Tribolium castaneum: one gene and its partner. The main gene of each other region encodes a partner of the protein of the gene in region 2 in a complex. Links are inferred from orthologs where the notes say so. Each region holds a gene or a part of one and is shown on either strand. Other genes may lie near its edges.

Region 1 (7,281 bases), on a different chromosome or scaffold from region 2:
GTAAAACACAATAAAACGCTTGAGATAACAAAACATTTTGTAAAATTCGAGGAAAAATTCTGTAACTTTTCAATATTTATTTGAGCATGGAAATAACAAATTTTCTTAACTGAACCAGAAAAACTTGGTATTTTCCACACTTAAATTAATTATTAATATTGAAAATGTGAAATTTTTCACTGAATTTTGCTAAATTTTGTGTTCAACTCGTCAGGAAAATTTATTTTTACCATATGACGTGTTTTTATCTCGGTTCTGCCTGACTTCTAAGCTTATTTTGAACAAAATTCCTCAAAATAGTCGCGTTTCTAGTTAAACAGCGGTTAAAAAAAGCAAAAATACTGAAATTTTTGGCATATTTTTATTTAAATCTGGCAAAATAATTGCGTTTTGATGTGTTGGCTGAAAATAAGGAGAAATAATATAATTTTTGGCAAATTTATTAGTGCCAAAAAAAGGGTTTTGAAGTGTTTCAGTGCTAAATGACACCATTTTCGACCCAGCTCAAAATAGCTCAACTCAGAATAGCAAAAATAGCTCTAGTAGAGTTATAAATTAGTACGTTGGGTTTCAAAAGGGAGTAGTCCGGCCCTGCTTGTGTACGCAATTTGAAGGTGATACTAATAATAATGAAGGGGATCATCAAGGATTTGTGGTTTTCACAATATTTTGAGTGATTTACAACATTTATCACATGATTGGTTTTGTAACGGAATTTTTTGTTGGCAAGACTTCCGGTTCGCTGAAATCGCTGTGTCGGTGGTTTCAGCAGACTTGCACTAAATATAGCGTTTGATTTATGAAATAAGTGAATCACCCGCTATCAGGGCAAGAAATGCCTTTGTTTGCACATAGTTCGGCGATGAATAAGTTAGGTTAGAGTGGCTCACCATATTTCACGTTATTCCACATTGAGAGGAGTCTGTTTTTGACTTTGCCTTCGACGTCCGAATTGTTCCCTTCATCCTGCAAACGACTGTCAGAAGAACTTGTTGGGAAGCTAAGTTTGGACAAAAAAATTGATCGCTCTCTTGATACCACCTGTGTGTTCATTTTATCAATGATAAGAATCAACAATATCTTGATTAACGCAAATTCCACAGTTCACTTGCCACCGACGTATTCGCTCGAAACTTCCGATTTACATTTTGTTGTGGTTTATTTATTTGTGAAACAACACCACGGCTCGCCATCAACAAAGTGACAATGGGACGCCTCCAAGTCTGCCGTCCAATCGCATCAATCAAACCCGCCGCGCAAATTCAAACCGCCCCACTCCCGTCGCAAATAACACACCATTGGGCAATAAATAGATTTATTAAGTACAACATAATCACAAATAAATAAAAAGTCGGGCCTAATTAATATCACAAATTAACACAACACAAATAATCCGGCGACAGTTAGCGGGCTTTGGGCACCGCGGAGAACGACCGCTTCTCGTACACCATCTTGCGCTCGCGCTTCTTCTCCGGGTACTTGTGGTACACCGGCTTCATCTCGAACTTCACCGGCGTGAAGCACTCCGAGTGGGCCGACTGCCGCTTCCGCATGTTGTTCCCCGTGTAGGCCACCCCGCGCATCTGGTATTCCTGCGTCTCCGAGTTCCATATCAAATTGGCCTCGATTTTCTTCAAGTATTCCTTCGGGATGTAGCTGTCGATCATCAGGCACGCCAGCTGGGTTTCCCGGACCAGGAGCCGGTTGTTGTCCAGCAGCGCCTCCATTTCGCGCTGGTACTCGTGCTCCTTGTCGGCGTACTCCTCCTTGACTTCGTTCAGATACGCCTGGACTTTTTTGATCTTTTTGCCCGTCCCGGCGTCCTCCTCCTGGAGACTCGAGTACTTCTCCTCCACGTCGATGCGCTCCTGCCCCTTCTTGCTCAGCGTCTCCTCCAGCTGTTGGTGGTTCTTGTCCAGGTTTTCGATCTCCGCCCCCGTCGACTCGATCAGGAAGGCCTGGTGCTGCGCCTTCTCGAACAGGTTCTCACCGCCGACGAGGATCCGCTTCTGGATCAGCGAGATTTTCTGCATCAAATCGCTCTTTTCCTTCCTAAAAACCGTTTTATTTGGTTTTCAAAACTGGGACAACACGTACTCAGTTTTTTGCAATTCCTCTTCCCACTTCTTCAGTTCCTCAACTTTGTGGGCCGACGCCCGCTCTTTCTTTTTCTTGGGCTGTTTTTGCTCCTGGAGTGACAATAAGTGGATTTTTTCCTGCAATTCGGCGATTTCGTGCTCGAATCCCTCAATAAGACCCCGCTGTTCGACGTTAATTCGCGCATGGTTTTGGATGTGTTTGACTCGAGCGGCGTATCTTAACGTACAAATGCTTTCTTCGTAGTCAATGTCCGCCGGACTCACCATCGCGATCTAAAATCACAGTTGAACAATTCCAACTGATTTAAGGCCCTGTTAGGTCAAAATAACGTTTTCTAAAATAAAAACCACATTTTTTCTACGAATTTTAGCGAAAACCGCAATAAATAAGCCCGAAAATAATTAAATTCGTAAAGCTGATGACGTCACACCTGCCCTAGCCGCGGCGGAATGCTCATCATTTTGCTTCTGAACGCCCCCAGTTCAAATTTTGACGATTTTAAGCGACCTTTTTTCTCAAAAACCATTCTAGAACCCTTAAAAGTATAAAAAAATAATCGGCATTACTAATTTTTTTAAGAATATACATTATTTTTGAATCTATGATAACCGAAGTTTGCAAAAAAACACGCCTCAATTCTTAATGCAGGTTGCATAATTTATTAATCTCAAATATTTCTGATTTAAACCATAATACTATTGTAATACGAGCGGAGTGAGGAAGGAGTGACGTCACGACCAGCGCGCAACGCTACTAAATTGGCGATTATCTCAGTAACTGAGACAGATATTGAAAAACGGTTTTCAAAATTTATTTAAATGAGGTTTAACGTGATAACAGGGCCTTTAATTAAAAATACCATTGCTGTTTTGGAGTTTCCGCCCAGCGAGTCTTGGAGTAACCGCGTCAGTTTGGAGTTTCTGTACGGAATGTGGCTGCTTTTGCCGTCAACGAGTGCCGAAATGACATTTCCGAGCACCGAGAGCGACAGATTAATATTGCTGGCCTCCCTCAGCCGCTCGCCTGTGGCTTGGGTCCTGCTTGCCCGCTCGGAGCCCTAAAAACTGGCCTTAGAAGCGCCCCTCACACTGGCACCGACTCACAGCCAAGTCAACCAAATTGAGTTTGCCAACAGTGGTTTTATTGCTGCTTCTGTTTTTCGACTCGATGGTTATGGTAAAAATCGCGTGCGATCTCGAGCTCACGTCGTTCATGAGAGTGGACCGAGTGACGCGGTTTTTGTTTCCTCTGTTGAGGAGTTCGGTAATTGACTCAATCGAGTCAACGGTGAATCCCATGAGATCCTTGACATACACGCCCACGTCTGGCCTCTCCCGAATCGCCAGTTTTTTATTCGGGTCTGTGGACAGCAAATCCCTGACTTCTTCGTTGTAGATCTCGAGGTAGGTGACGGTGACAACGAACGACGTCTCGCCGCTGGCCCGCGAAATCTGGCTGAAAATGTGCGAGAATGTGTTGGGGATGATGCCTTTGAGTTCCGGCTTGGCGTAATTCCCTGACATGGTGTACGTCTTCCCGGTGCCCGTCTGGCCGTACGCAAAAATCGTGCCATTGTACCCCTGTAGAGCCTTCTCGACTATTGGCACAGCTATCACTCTGTACAACGACAACTGCAAACAAAACCTCGCCCTGATTCAACTTGAAACTAAACAAACCTGCGTCGAGTCCTCCCCAAACACCTGATCGAACTTAAACGGTTTGGGGTTCGCCCCGTCTTTATTCAAAGCAATTAAATTCTCCTTAGGGTCGATCAAAAGAACATTTAGGTGGCCCTCAGCTTCTTCCTTCTTGGTTAAAGGACGCACTCGGACAAAAACACGAACGTTTTCCACCTCAGTCTGCACGTCTGTCTTCGAATTTGCCATTTTTGATTATTTTTTACGGGAAATTTAATCAATATTGCGGAAATTTAGGTTAGGGTCAGCTGTCAGTCTGACAGCTACAAGCGCGCAGAGTTTGAATTGGTCTTAGGCTGCGAGCTACAAGGGGCAGCCGAAAAGTAAACAGCCACTCGAACGAGCTAATTAAATCCCCGGTGTTGGGATAGTGATAAGGGCATTATTAAATAATGATAAATCGGAGCAAAACAAATCACCCTATTCATTAATTCCGGGCAATCTCAAATAATAATTTAATTAATATTGAGATTAGGATGGGTATAAAAAAGGGCGCAAATGCGTGCAAAATCAGTCCTTTCTGTGCCTTTCGGTCTAATATAGGTGAGTAAGTAATATATTATTTATTATTTATGATTATGATTGAAGTAGAAACGTATAGTTTCAGCAAAATGAAAACCGCCTTTTTGCTCCTTTTCGTGCTCATGCCGGCAGTTTTGTGCTACTACGTGCACCCGAACTTGCACTACTTCCCTGCGAGGGTCAATTACAGAAGTGCCCCGGCCAAGTCGTGGGGCGCTTTGTTCCACCGTCTCCAGCTGGCCAGTAAACGCTGCGCTAATACATTTGACGAAAGTTGCATCAACGATGTCATAAATGGGGCTGGGTCCGACGAGGCGTTTTTGAACGGCGGCGACAACCCGGGAAAACGGTGTGTGAACACATTTGACGAGAGTTGCTCCAACGGCGACATCAACGGTGCCGGATCCGACGACGACTGGCTGCACGGAGACGACACTCCGGGCCGTCGTTGAAAATTTCATGTAGAATTATAACCAGAATAAATTTATTGTGAACAGTATTTCGCGTTTGATTGCCGCCATTTTGTCGGCACTGATGAACGGGTTTTGTGTGATTTAAGTGATGGTATCTGATGAACAGGTGGTACGATGCGAGCCAGTTTTTCTTGAAATGCCCGAGGTAACGGAAGTCATACAACATGAAATTTACCCGCGCTTTGTATCGAGCAAATGACTTAGGAGTCGTTTTTTCAGCTCTCCAATTAAATCTTTTGTTACAGAGGGTCTAGATGCCTAATTTTCGAAATAATTTCATTTGAGACTGGTTTAACAGGTTGATGGGATTAAATTAGCATCGGTGGCACACAATACGGGTGCAGTTTTTAGGCCGGCGCCGGAATAAATTCGAAATTTCTTCGGAAAAGTTGAAACGGCCCCAGTCTCCGGAAGCGGCGCACTTTCAGTTGAAAACGACTCGAATATTCAAGCCTGGCCTGATAGGGCCCATTTTCGGATTGTCTGGCGCCGCTCCTAACCACTTTTCTCAATCCACAAATATTTATGCAAATATCATAATCGCCATAATAAACTATTTCCGGTACGAGGTTTTCGAAAAAGAAAATATGTTGTATTACGGTTTCCTTTCCGTACATAATTTGTGTTTATTGCTCGGTTTTATGTTTCTTTATCAATTTATTGCGCGGATATAAACATCAAAATAACCCTTGATTAAGGGAGATCCACTTCATTTAACCACTCACAACAATGCATTGAAATTTTATAGCGACATATTCCACATTCCCCAGGTTTATGAAATTTAATCTCGGTTATAATGAGCTTCGCGCACAAGTAAAATCAAACACGAAGTTCAAAAAATGACACGAATAAAAACTGTTACGTTTTAATGATTTTAATTCTTGTCTTAATTGGCTGATAGAAAAGTAATTATAGAGGGTTCTTCTGGAGCTCATTAAGTAAACATTGCAGAATTTGCACTACCATTACTCCGCTGACAACATGCACTCAGTCATTAAATCGCTCAAAAAAGAACAAATCAATTTGTACTACTTTATTCTCATTTACCCTACACAATAATGAGAGACAGGGCCGGGCTCAATTTTGCGAGACTGTGTCACAACAGTGTTTACATACCAGAATAAAAAATATTTTGCGGAAGATAACGTTATCGTATTCGCATACGCAAGTGTTTAAAAACTATGTCTAGATTGGTATTAATCACATTAATAATCAGCAAGGAGTTTTATTTTTTTATTATTTATTTATGAAAAAAATTCTGTGTTAAAGAACCGCAAATAATATTTTAATGTTTATTACTTAATTTGCTCATTATTACCCCTTTTTCTTCTTCTTCTTCTTCTTCTTATTATTATTATTATTATTACTATTATTATTATTATTATTTTATTATTATTTCTATCGTTACTGGGTGCTATCACGATATGAAATTTTGGATGTAGCTTTTAATCCCAATGATTTTGACCAAAACTCATCTATTTGACTAAATATTTTAAAGGTGCAGAAGTTCGATCATCCGGAACTCCGGTTATCTATTTCTTGCGCCTCGGTTTTATCAGTTTCATAATTGTGATTTAAAAAGTATAATTAATACAGAAAATGTCTTCGTTGGCAAACAAACCAGGAATTAATTAGCTAGTAATTGAGGAAATTAGTTTTTAGCACGTGTGGCGTTTGTTCCATGAACTTTAAATTTCCCCACTCATTATTAGTAAACAATGATTTGTTTGTTGTGATTTTTTCGCGTTTTTCCTGGTAGCATGAGTAGTAGTACTCCAAACCGTTCCATATTCATTGATTAATGGTGGAAAAATGTGTTTGTCGTGAAACCGCAAATTTGGTGCGTGGTTGACGGTGTTTGAGGCGAGATGTCAGGGACCATCCCATCCAGTGGAAGAATTTGACATTTCGTATCTTGTTTATCGTCGACATTTTCAGTTATATGAACTTCCGGACGCAACAGGTGCGGAATGCGCCCATGCACAGGTCAGGTATGAAAAATATCGGCCCGAGATCGATTCCCTTATTTCCGTTTCCGGCTGGACAGCAACGCATGAAGAAATCCGTCAACAAAAGAGCAGCGAAAACCGGTATCTTAAGACTGTTTACAAGTCGGCTCCAGGTGACGTAACGTCGAAGAATGCGAAACCGCAGCTTGTACAGGCCCAACTTCCACAGCCTAAATCCGGTACTGGTCAGCACAATCGGTACCATCCTACTGCGAGCTCTCATCGGACTTCTTTCACGACCGGCTTTAAAAGCGGTCGCCGGAAATCAGATTGCTGCTAGATTTTTCTAGTCTTGCTTCAAGTTCTCTCCTCAAGCTCGAGCGTGGGCGACCACAGCCCACCAAATCGCAAATACAAAATACCATTTTTTCCAACTCCGATCCTGACCAAACTACATGCTAGTGCTACTCACAAACACCACAAGCTCTCGTTCAACAACAATTTATGAGCTCATGCATACAGCTGGGCCTCCCTAACTCG
Region 2 (7,108 bases):
TTTTACGCTCCCAGACAGGGGAAAGCGACGTTTGAACGATTGAATGCGTTTAGAAACGTAGGGAGATTGATCGGATTGTGTCTACTACAGAACGAACTTTGTCCGATTTTCTTGACGAGACACGTTTTAAAATCAATTTTAGCGAGACCCATCAAGTTCCATGATTTTGCGTTTTTCGACCCGATTGTCTACGAGTCGTTGAGGCAGTTGGTGGTGGACGCCGAAACGAAAGATTGTAATAATTTGTTCTCAACGCTTGAGCTCAATTTCACGTAAGTTAAAAATTATTGGGTGTTGTATTATTTTATTATTATGGTTGGTTTTAGAATTGATTTAAGTCCGGAGGAAGGTGGCGGTACAGTCGAACTGATGCCGGGTGGTAAAGATATTGAAGTGACGTCGAGCAACGTCTACGACTACGTTCGGAAGTACGCCAAGTATCGGATGATTAAAGTGCAAGAAAAAGCGATCGAGAGCATCCGAACTGGCGTCCTCGATGTGTTGCCTGAAGGCTCCTTGGACAGTTTAACGGCCGAAGATCTTCGGCTTTTGTTGAACGGTGTGGGAGATATCAATGTGGCAGTTTTAATATCGTATACGTCGTTCAATGACGAGTCCGGTGAGAACAGCGAACGTTTAGTCAAGTTCAAGCGGTGGCTGTGGTCAATTGTTGAAAAGATGACGCATCTGGAAAGGCAGGACTTGGTAAGTTTGTTGTTTAGTCTGCGGTCGGTTGAGTTGACTCTTGCGTTTAGGTTTATTTCTGGACGGGTTCTCCGGCACTTCCGGCAAGCGAGGACGGCTTTCAGCCGATGCCTTCGGTGACGATAAGACCAGCCGACGACGCACATTTACCAACAGCAAACACTTGTATATCACGTTTATATATTCCACTTTATAGTAGTCGCGCAGTTCTTAGACAGAAATTATTACTTGCCATCAAAACAAAGAATTTCGGTTTCGTGTGATCATGGGTTGATTGTTTCGTTTAATTTTAGTACGAATTTCAGTTTAATAAAATTGTTTTTATAAGTTGTTTATAATTTTGTCATGAATATTGTGATGATTTATAATTTATTTCGACTAAGCTAAAGTGATAATCTTGTATATAATCTCATTTTCATGTTTCAAATCATGGACACGACCTATGCGTATGTCTAAAAACAATTCACACTTTTTTCAAGCTCAAAGATTTCTCTTTTCTTTCGGTAAATCACTAGTCTTCTTGCTTGTATGGGTTACTTTTAACTTTTTGCACCCTTTATTTGTTGTGCCAACCCTGTTCAGGTGCATTCATGTTATTAGTATTATTGTAGATAATAGTTTTAAGAATTTTCTTATTTATATCATTTTTTTGGTTCCGTAAACTTAGTTATGTTTTATTAATAAAGTGTCTCGTCCTTACGTTTTTTTAATTTCATAATTTCAGATGGCTTCTGTATTAGTATCGAAATAAAAGCAGTTATGTATACGAACGTGGTTTTATTCAAAACAACTATCACAAAAAACATAAGTAACGCCTCTGCTGGAAGTACAAGTAAATGTTTATTATCAATTACATAAAAATTAACAAGAAAATGTATGACTAGAAAGCTGAATATCACTTGTGCTCAAGCAAAAAATTAAATGGCTTCAATTTCAAAGTCCGGAATGACCCTGCAAATAAATTAACATCAGGAAACCCACTCACTGACATTCTTACCAAACAAACTTACTCTGGTCTATCAAAATAGTCAAAGTCTATGTCTTTTTGTGAGATAAATTCCGATTCTTGTGCATGTTCATTCAAATCTAAAAATCGAAAATAAAACATTTACTTCAATCACCCAAAACTGGCACCGACCTGACAAAGGCGGGACCACTGCCGTTCCCAGAAACTCCGTATTCAGATACGGTGGCAAGGCATCCTCTTCGTCGTCCTCGTCCTCGGGACCCAACTGCTGCGAATCGACCATTTGTAACCACTGCGCGTTATGATGCCTGAATTTTTCAATTTTGATCCTTTCCGCCCAAGTTTTACTATGCTCGGCTATTATATTAAGACACGTATTGCACAATTTCCTAATGGACTTGTTATTGTCTTGGAGTAAATCGATCAAATAGGCCGGAGCTTCGGTTTTCTCCGCCAGATAATCAATATTCGTCCCGTGAGAAATGGTCGCGAAAAAAACGAAAATTATTTGAAGGACGATTTCGTCGTCTTCCTGGTGCGTCTTCAAGAGTTCGATCAAAGCCGAGATTATGTTCGATTCGCACAAGAGCTTGGCACAACCTTCGTCGGCTGCAGCCGTGCCTAATAAAACTACAACCTACACAAAAAAATTATTAAATAATTTGCAATTTTGTCATTATTACTTGTAAAACCAACTCGGGGTCGGTGTTATTGTTACGAATCACTTTTTCGATCCATTTTAACATATCGAAGTGTTTGAAAATTTCCGCCCAGTCCAGCTCGGGTAAACTGAGGTTGCTTAAAATTCCGACACATTCGACTACGAAATCGTCTTCCTTTGACTCGACTACGGCCTTTGCAATGTCGCCTACAAACTCCTAAAAAATTTACTTAAATCGTGGATTTTTAAAAGGTGCACGTACGACGAAATTAACTTTGGATGATTTATGCTCTGACAAATTCCTCAACATTTTCATCAACATGTTATCTTGATAATTGAAAGCCCTCATCATTAACGATTGGACGCGATTTTTTTTCATCATTTGTTGGGCGTTTGTCGGGTCCGTGGCCAAATTGATACAAAGTGCGACCATAACTTCGTCACCTTCGTTTCCAATATTAAGTAATAACATGTCCGTTATCTTAAAAAATTGAATTGTGCAAAAAGCGATTATTTTTAACGTAACGTTTTTACCAAACCCACACATTCGGCAAATTGCGTTTTGACGTCATCGTCGTAACTCAAATGGTAGAGTAATTTTAAAACAATCTCCTGATGACGATCATCGCCTTAAAATACGCCAGTGAATTACACGCCGACTGCTTTTACTCAACTCACTTAATAAACTGATAAATTTCGGTAGAAGTCCAATTTGGACGATTCTAAACCTCAATTTTGTATCAAACGACAAATTAAACAACAATTTCAACGTCAAATGCACCAAGTCGGGACTGTTGGACTCCAGCAATTTCGGCAACTTCTCCACGACATTCATCCCGGCCATAGCGTCCTTATTACACTGCATAATGGACAACTTCTTCAGGAACGTCACCACCAGAACCAACAATTCCTCGTTGTCCCTCTCCAGAGCCTTGACCAACAACCCCACGATGTTCCTCTTCGTCATTTTCTCTTCAATACTTTCGTCTTCGGCGATATTCAGCAAGAGATAAAACGCGACACGGAGCAGATGTTCTTGTTTTTTCACCAAAGTGCGGAAACGTTTCGCCTTTTCCGCTTCGCTCAGTTTTTTATCGTCGATACTTTCCGTGGAAGTCGTCAAATCGTCGTAAACGCTGCCTTCCATCACGGCTTTAATATTCGCCTCGGAGAAGTTCCCGGATCGGGGCCTAACCGGCTCCGGAATGCGACTCCGGGGGATTTCGGAGAGGCTAGCGCTACTCGGACATGGCTTGCGGACGATGGGGATGTCGTCCGGGGCCTCAACGCCCTCCAAATCCGCCTTCCACTTGTCGTATCTTCGCAACTCGTAATCGATTATGTCCATACAGATCGAACCCACCTAAATGTGGTGCCCATGAGCAAACATTATTCAGCGACCAATCAAAGCTAATAAAATTAATTTTTAAACGGGCCATACTTTGGCCCTTGGAATTGTGTTTGAGAGTTTTTTGAAACTGGGAATAATTGCGTTGTAATAAAGCTTCGGAGTTGAACGGACGTTTGGGTAATTATCCTTGTTAAAGTAAAGGGCGCAGAAATTTGGTTTGGGGTTTGCTTTATTTAATTCGAATAATTGTTATGATGTTGCGTTGGGAATACGCATCCCTGAGCAAAAAAAACTGTTACGAAATGTTTTTTGTTTTATTAGATTAGACCGATTTTGAGGAAAATGATACGAGAATAAGTTAGTCTAAGTCTGGCTTCAGCACGAACGTTTAATAATTGTTGAAATCATTTCTAAACAGTGAGTATAAGAATATTTTACTAGTGATGTGATAGTGACATATTTTTAAGTAGAGTCGTAAAGTCTATTACTAAAATGTTTGGATATCATGTCACGAAGCACAATTTAAGTGAGTTGTTTGAAATTTTCAATACACATAATTAAAAAATGGGACAAAATTTGTATTCATTTCTACGAAGTAATATCTTTACAAAAATTGTGTTATGCAGTAAACAATTATTGTTTAAACATCATATTTCCTAAGCGGCACATAAATAAAGCTGTTATTTATTATCAAGATAGATGTGACCGATAAAATAGATACAAATACTGTTGCCTCAGGTGATTACTGATCACTGATCATCAGTGAAGAGAATAATAAATAATATTAATAATTAATAAAAAAATAATAAATTCAAATAGTTCCCAAAATAATTGCCTTTCTGGCTCGACAACGTGCTAAAAAGCTGAAAAAAACTCTTGACCTCTTGAAAACTTTTGACCTTATTAACTAATTTATTTTACTGAGTTAAGAATATCTCGCGAAAAAACAGACTTTTTATTTAAATTTTCAATTTACAACTCCTATTTTTAATACTTTTTGCGCAAATTTCGTAAAATAATCAATTGGTTGATTGAAAAATGTACATGTTTGCTCATAAAAATCAAATCTAACATTTTCGGCCCAATTCAGTAAATTTTCGGTCTATTTTATTATCAAAATTTTGTCAAATAATTACGATTTCAGCAAAAAAAAAATTGTATTTTTAAATTAATTACATATCATTTTTGGATTAATTATTGGCGAAATTTTGAAACGGTCACTAGGAAATAATTCCCAATCTTGCATATTCACAAATTTTTTTTTGCTGAATTTTATTTATTTATTTATTTATTTTTTTAATTCAAAAACCTGATACTGGTAACATACAATCATTAAAAATAAATAGCGAAAACTACAGAAAAAAAATTTGTAGTCCCAGATTTTTTAAAATATGATTTTTTTTTTAATAATTTCGGTAATCTACACATGCTTCTCAAAAACGTACCACTGAGTTGGTGCGTCGATTTTTGGGCACCCTGTACAATGCAAAAATAGTGAAACTATTTCATTTTCGATCCAGTTTATTGTTTTTTTAAACCAGTTTAGCAAAAATTTAAAAATTATCTGAATAATATGCTTCAGCGCTTGAAATATGTAAATAAAAATTGCGCAATTTTTTGAGATAATAATAATAATTTAATTTAATTAAATAATTCGCTAATAATTTTATTAGCGAAAATACCCGAAAAGGCAAAATAATATCCTTTTCGATACTATTAGTGATTTTTCGGCTAATCTTTGAGAAATTTTGCGAAATGATTCCGAAAAACGAAAAAACTCTGAAAACCAAAACCTCCCTAGAAGCAAAACTAAATATCATTTTGACTTTGCGGCTTATTTTGGACACAAATTTGGGCAAAATTCTTCAAAATAATGACGTTTTTGGGGAAACAACCTGTTGAAAAGGTCGAAAAAAAGAAAAAAATATTAATTTTTTTTACTTAACTCAGCAACTTTTCGTTTCACTTTAACAAAATCCGCTTGAACGCCCCAAAAAAATATATTATTGATTCATTTAGAAAAAATATAAGTTGCATATCTCATTTCTGACTGATAACATGCCCAAACCTTTAAAAAAAAAGGAGAAAACACTGTACCGTACTTTGTTATAAGAAAATTTGTCCAAAAAACTGAATTTTGATGAGTTAAAGAAATCGAGAAGGCTAAAATATAACTATTTTCGCCTAATTCGACGATTTTTTGGACAATTTTGACGCAAAATGCTTTGCAAAAAATAACCCCAGAACATGTAAATTAGTACGTTAAGTTCCAAAAGTAGGTTTAAGGGAGCGAGTTCTGCAAATGGTCAAAAGTACATATGTTGAATATATGGACATACATCCGCAACATTCTCCTAATTGTAGTATTTAAAAAAATAAATCAAGGCCAAATAAAGACGCAACTTTCTATTGTTGCATAATTTACCCACCTGTTTAAACATTTAATCAACTAATTGACATCAAAATCTATTTGCGCGAAATTTCGAGATTTACGACTTTGCTCACCTTACACTTGAGTATAACCTCGTGAAAACGTGAGTACATGGAAAAACAGAAAAAGGTAAACACCAGGTGTGTGCTTAAGACAATACTTCGTTTCCAATCCTCGCGTAGAACTCGCGCTAAGGCGCTTATTACAGTTTCTACAAACAAAATTGCGCCATTTCTACTTGAACTGATTGTGACATTATATACCATTTTTCGATAATGCGTCCAAATTTTCCGGGTCACGCGCCAAAAGCTGGATGAAGTGAGCGCCCTTGATTTTTTCAGACATTCCCTCGTAGAGCAGCTCGATGTAATCCGACAAATTGTTGTAATTGGGTTCGTCGGCGTTGATTATTTGTTTGAGATCATGGGAACTGTTATTGTCTGGAAATAATCGGTTTGGATTAGGGGCGGGCTCCAGATGGAGGTATTTCCAGAGTTTGAATCAAACAACTGAGCCGAGGTCAAATTATTATTGGCCATACTTTGGTCATTATTTCCAAACACCTACGGCTACTTCATAATCACAATTACTTCTGTGACAATATTTTGCACAACCTTGAAACTGATAAAATGTGTCTTTATAACAATAGTCTTGTGAATCACGACAATGCAACGACAAAAAAGGAACAGAAAAATGTTTAGTGCCAAAAAAGGATAGATAAAATCGTGGGTTAAGTGAGTCTTATTCAATCCCGAAATTAAGCACAAGGCCGCTGCTTCATGACTAATGTTAGAGAAGCGATTAAACACCTCGGTATTTAAATTCGCAGTTTCCGGTGAAATTAATTGTTTCTGAAAGTGCAAAAATTTTTGCATTATTCATTGCGCACTTATTTCGCCAAAGCTTTCATAATAAATTGTAGAAATTGAGACTTACTGAAGCGAAACTAGAAATACTCGCAATGTGCCAGTATTATAAATAACGTTTCTAAAA

Evidence for each region.
Region 1: the proteins of Kap3 (region 2) and Klp64D are in contact, whole or in part, in a crystal structure (PDB 9IKB), measured with the Caenorhabditis elegans proteins. The link is inferred for Tribolium castaneum from reciprocal best matches to the Caenorhabditis elegans genes kap-1 and klp-20. Residues at the interface, in NP_001367739.1 of Caenorhabditis elegans: Ile269, Glu272, Leu273, Val276, Arg277, Leu309, Ser310, Ile311, Phe312, Asp313, Glu314, Asn315, Lys316, Asn349, Phe350, Phe352, Asp353, Lys657, Ala660, Gly661, Arg663, Phe664, Lys665, His667, Asn668, Gln670, Trp671, Met674, Val675, Asp679; in NP_497178.1 of Caenorhabditis elegans: Tyr557, Ile558, Pro559, Val560, His562, Leu565, Ile566, Tyr569, Lys582, Ile584, Ala585, Tyr586, Gln607, Met611, Tyr612, Tyr613, Ser614, Tyr615, Arg616, Leu619, Ala621, Ser622, Thr623, Ala624.

The regions. Positions count from the first base shown.
Region 1 is NC_087403.1:3,791,962-3,799,242, reverse strand, and holds Klp64D (kinesin-like protein KIF3A), read right to left. Parts: upstream 4,104-7,281; 5' UTR 3,987-4,103; coding exon 3,777-3,986; intron 3,732-3,776; coding exon 3,204-3,731; intron 3,158-3,203; coding exon 2,960-3,157; intron 2,373-2,959; coding exon 2,098-2,372; intron 2,053-2,097; coding exon 1,404-2,052; 3' UTR 1,299-1,403; downstream 1-1,298. Other genes in the region: Atg4b (cysteine protease ATG4D), read right to left, coding at 891-1,053; uncharacterized protein LOC103313049, read left to right, coding at 4,274-4,340, 4,389-4,771. UniProt on the Caenorhabditis elegans protein: Component of the kinesin II motor complex (composed of kap-1 and the heterodimeric motor proteins klp-11 and klp-20) which is required for intraflagellar transport (IFT).
Region 2 is NC_087398.1:9,876,712-9,883,819, reverse strand, and holds the end of Kap3 (kinesin-associated protein 3), read right to left. Parts: intron 6,556-7,108; coding exon 6,379-6,555; intron 6,327-6,378; coding exon 6,190-6,326; intron 3,697-6,189; coding exon 3,012-3,696; intron 2,963-3,011; coding exon 2,868-2,962; intron 2,815-2,867; coding exon 2,596-2,814; intron 2,551-2,595; coding exon 2,356-2,550; intron 2,310-2,355; coding exon 1,844-2,309; intron 1,792-1,843; coding exon 1,716-1,791; coding exon of another isoform or gene 1,712-1,715; exon of another isoform or gene 1,703-1,711; intron 1,657-1,702; coding exon 1,623-1,656; 3' UTR 1,527-1,622; downstream 1-1,526. Other genes in the region: E3 ubiquitin-protein ligase hyd, read left to right, coding at 1-272, 327-705, 756-968.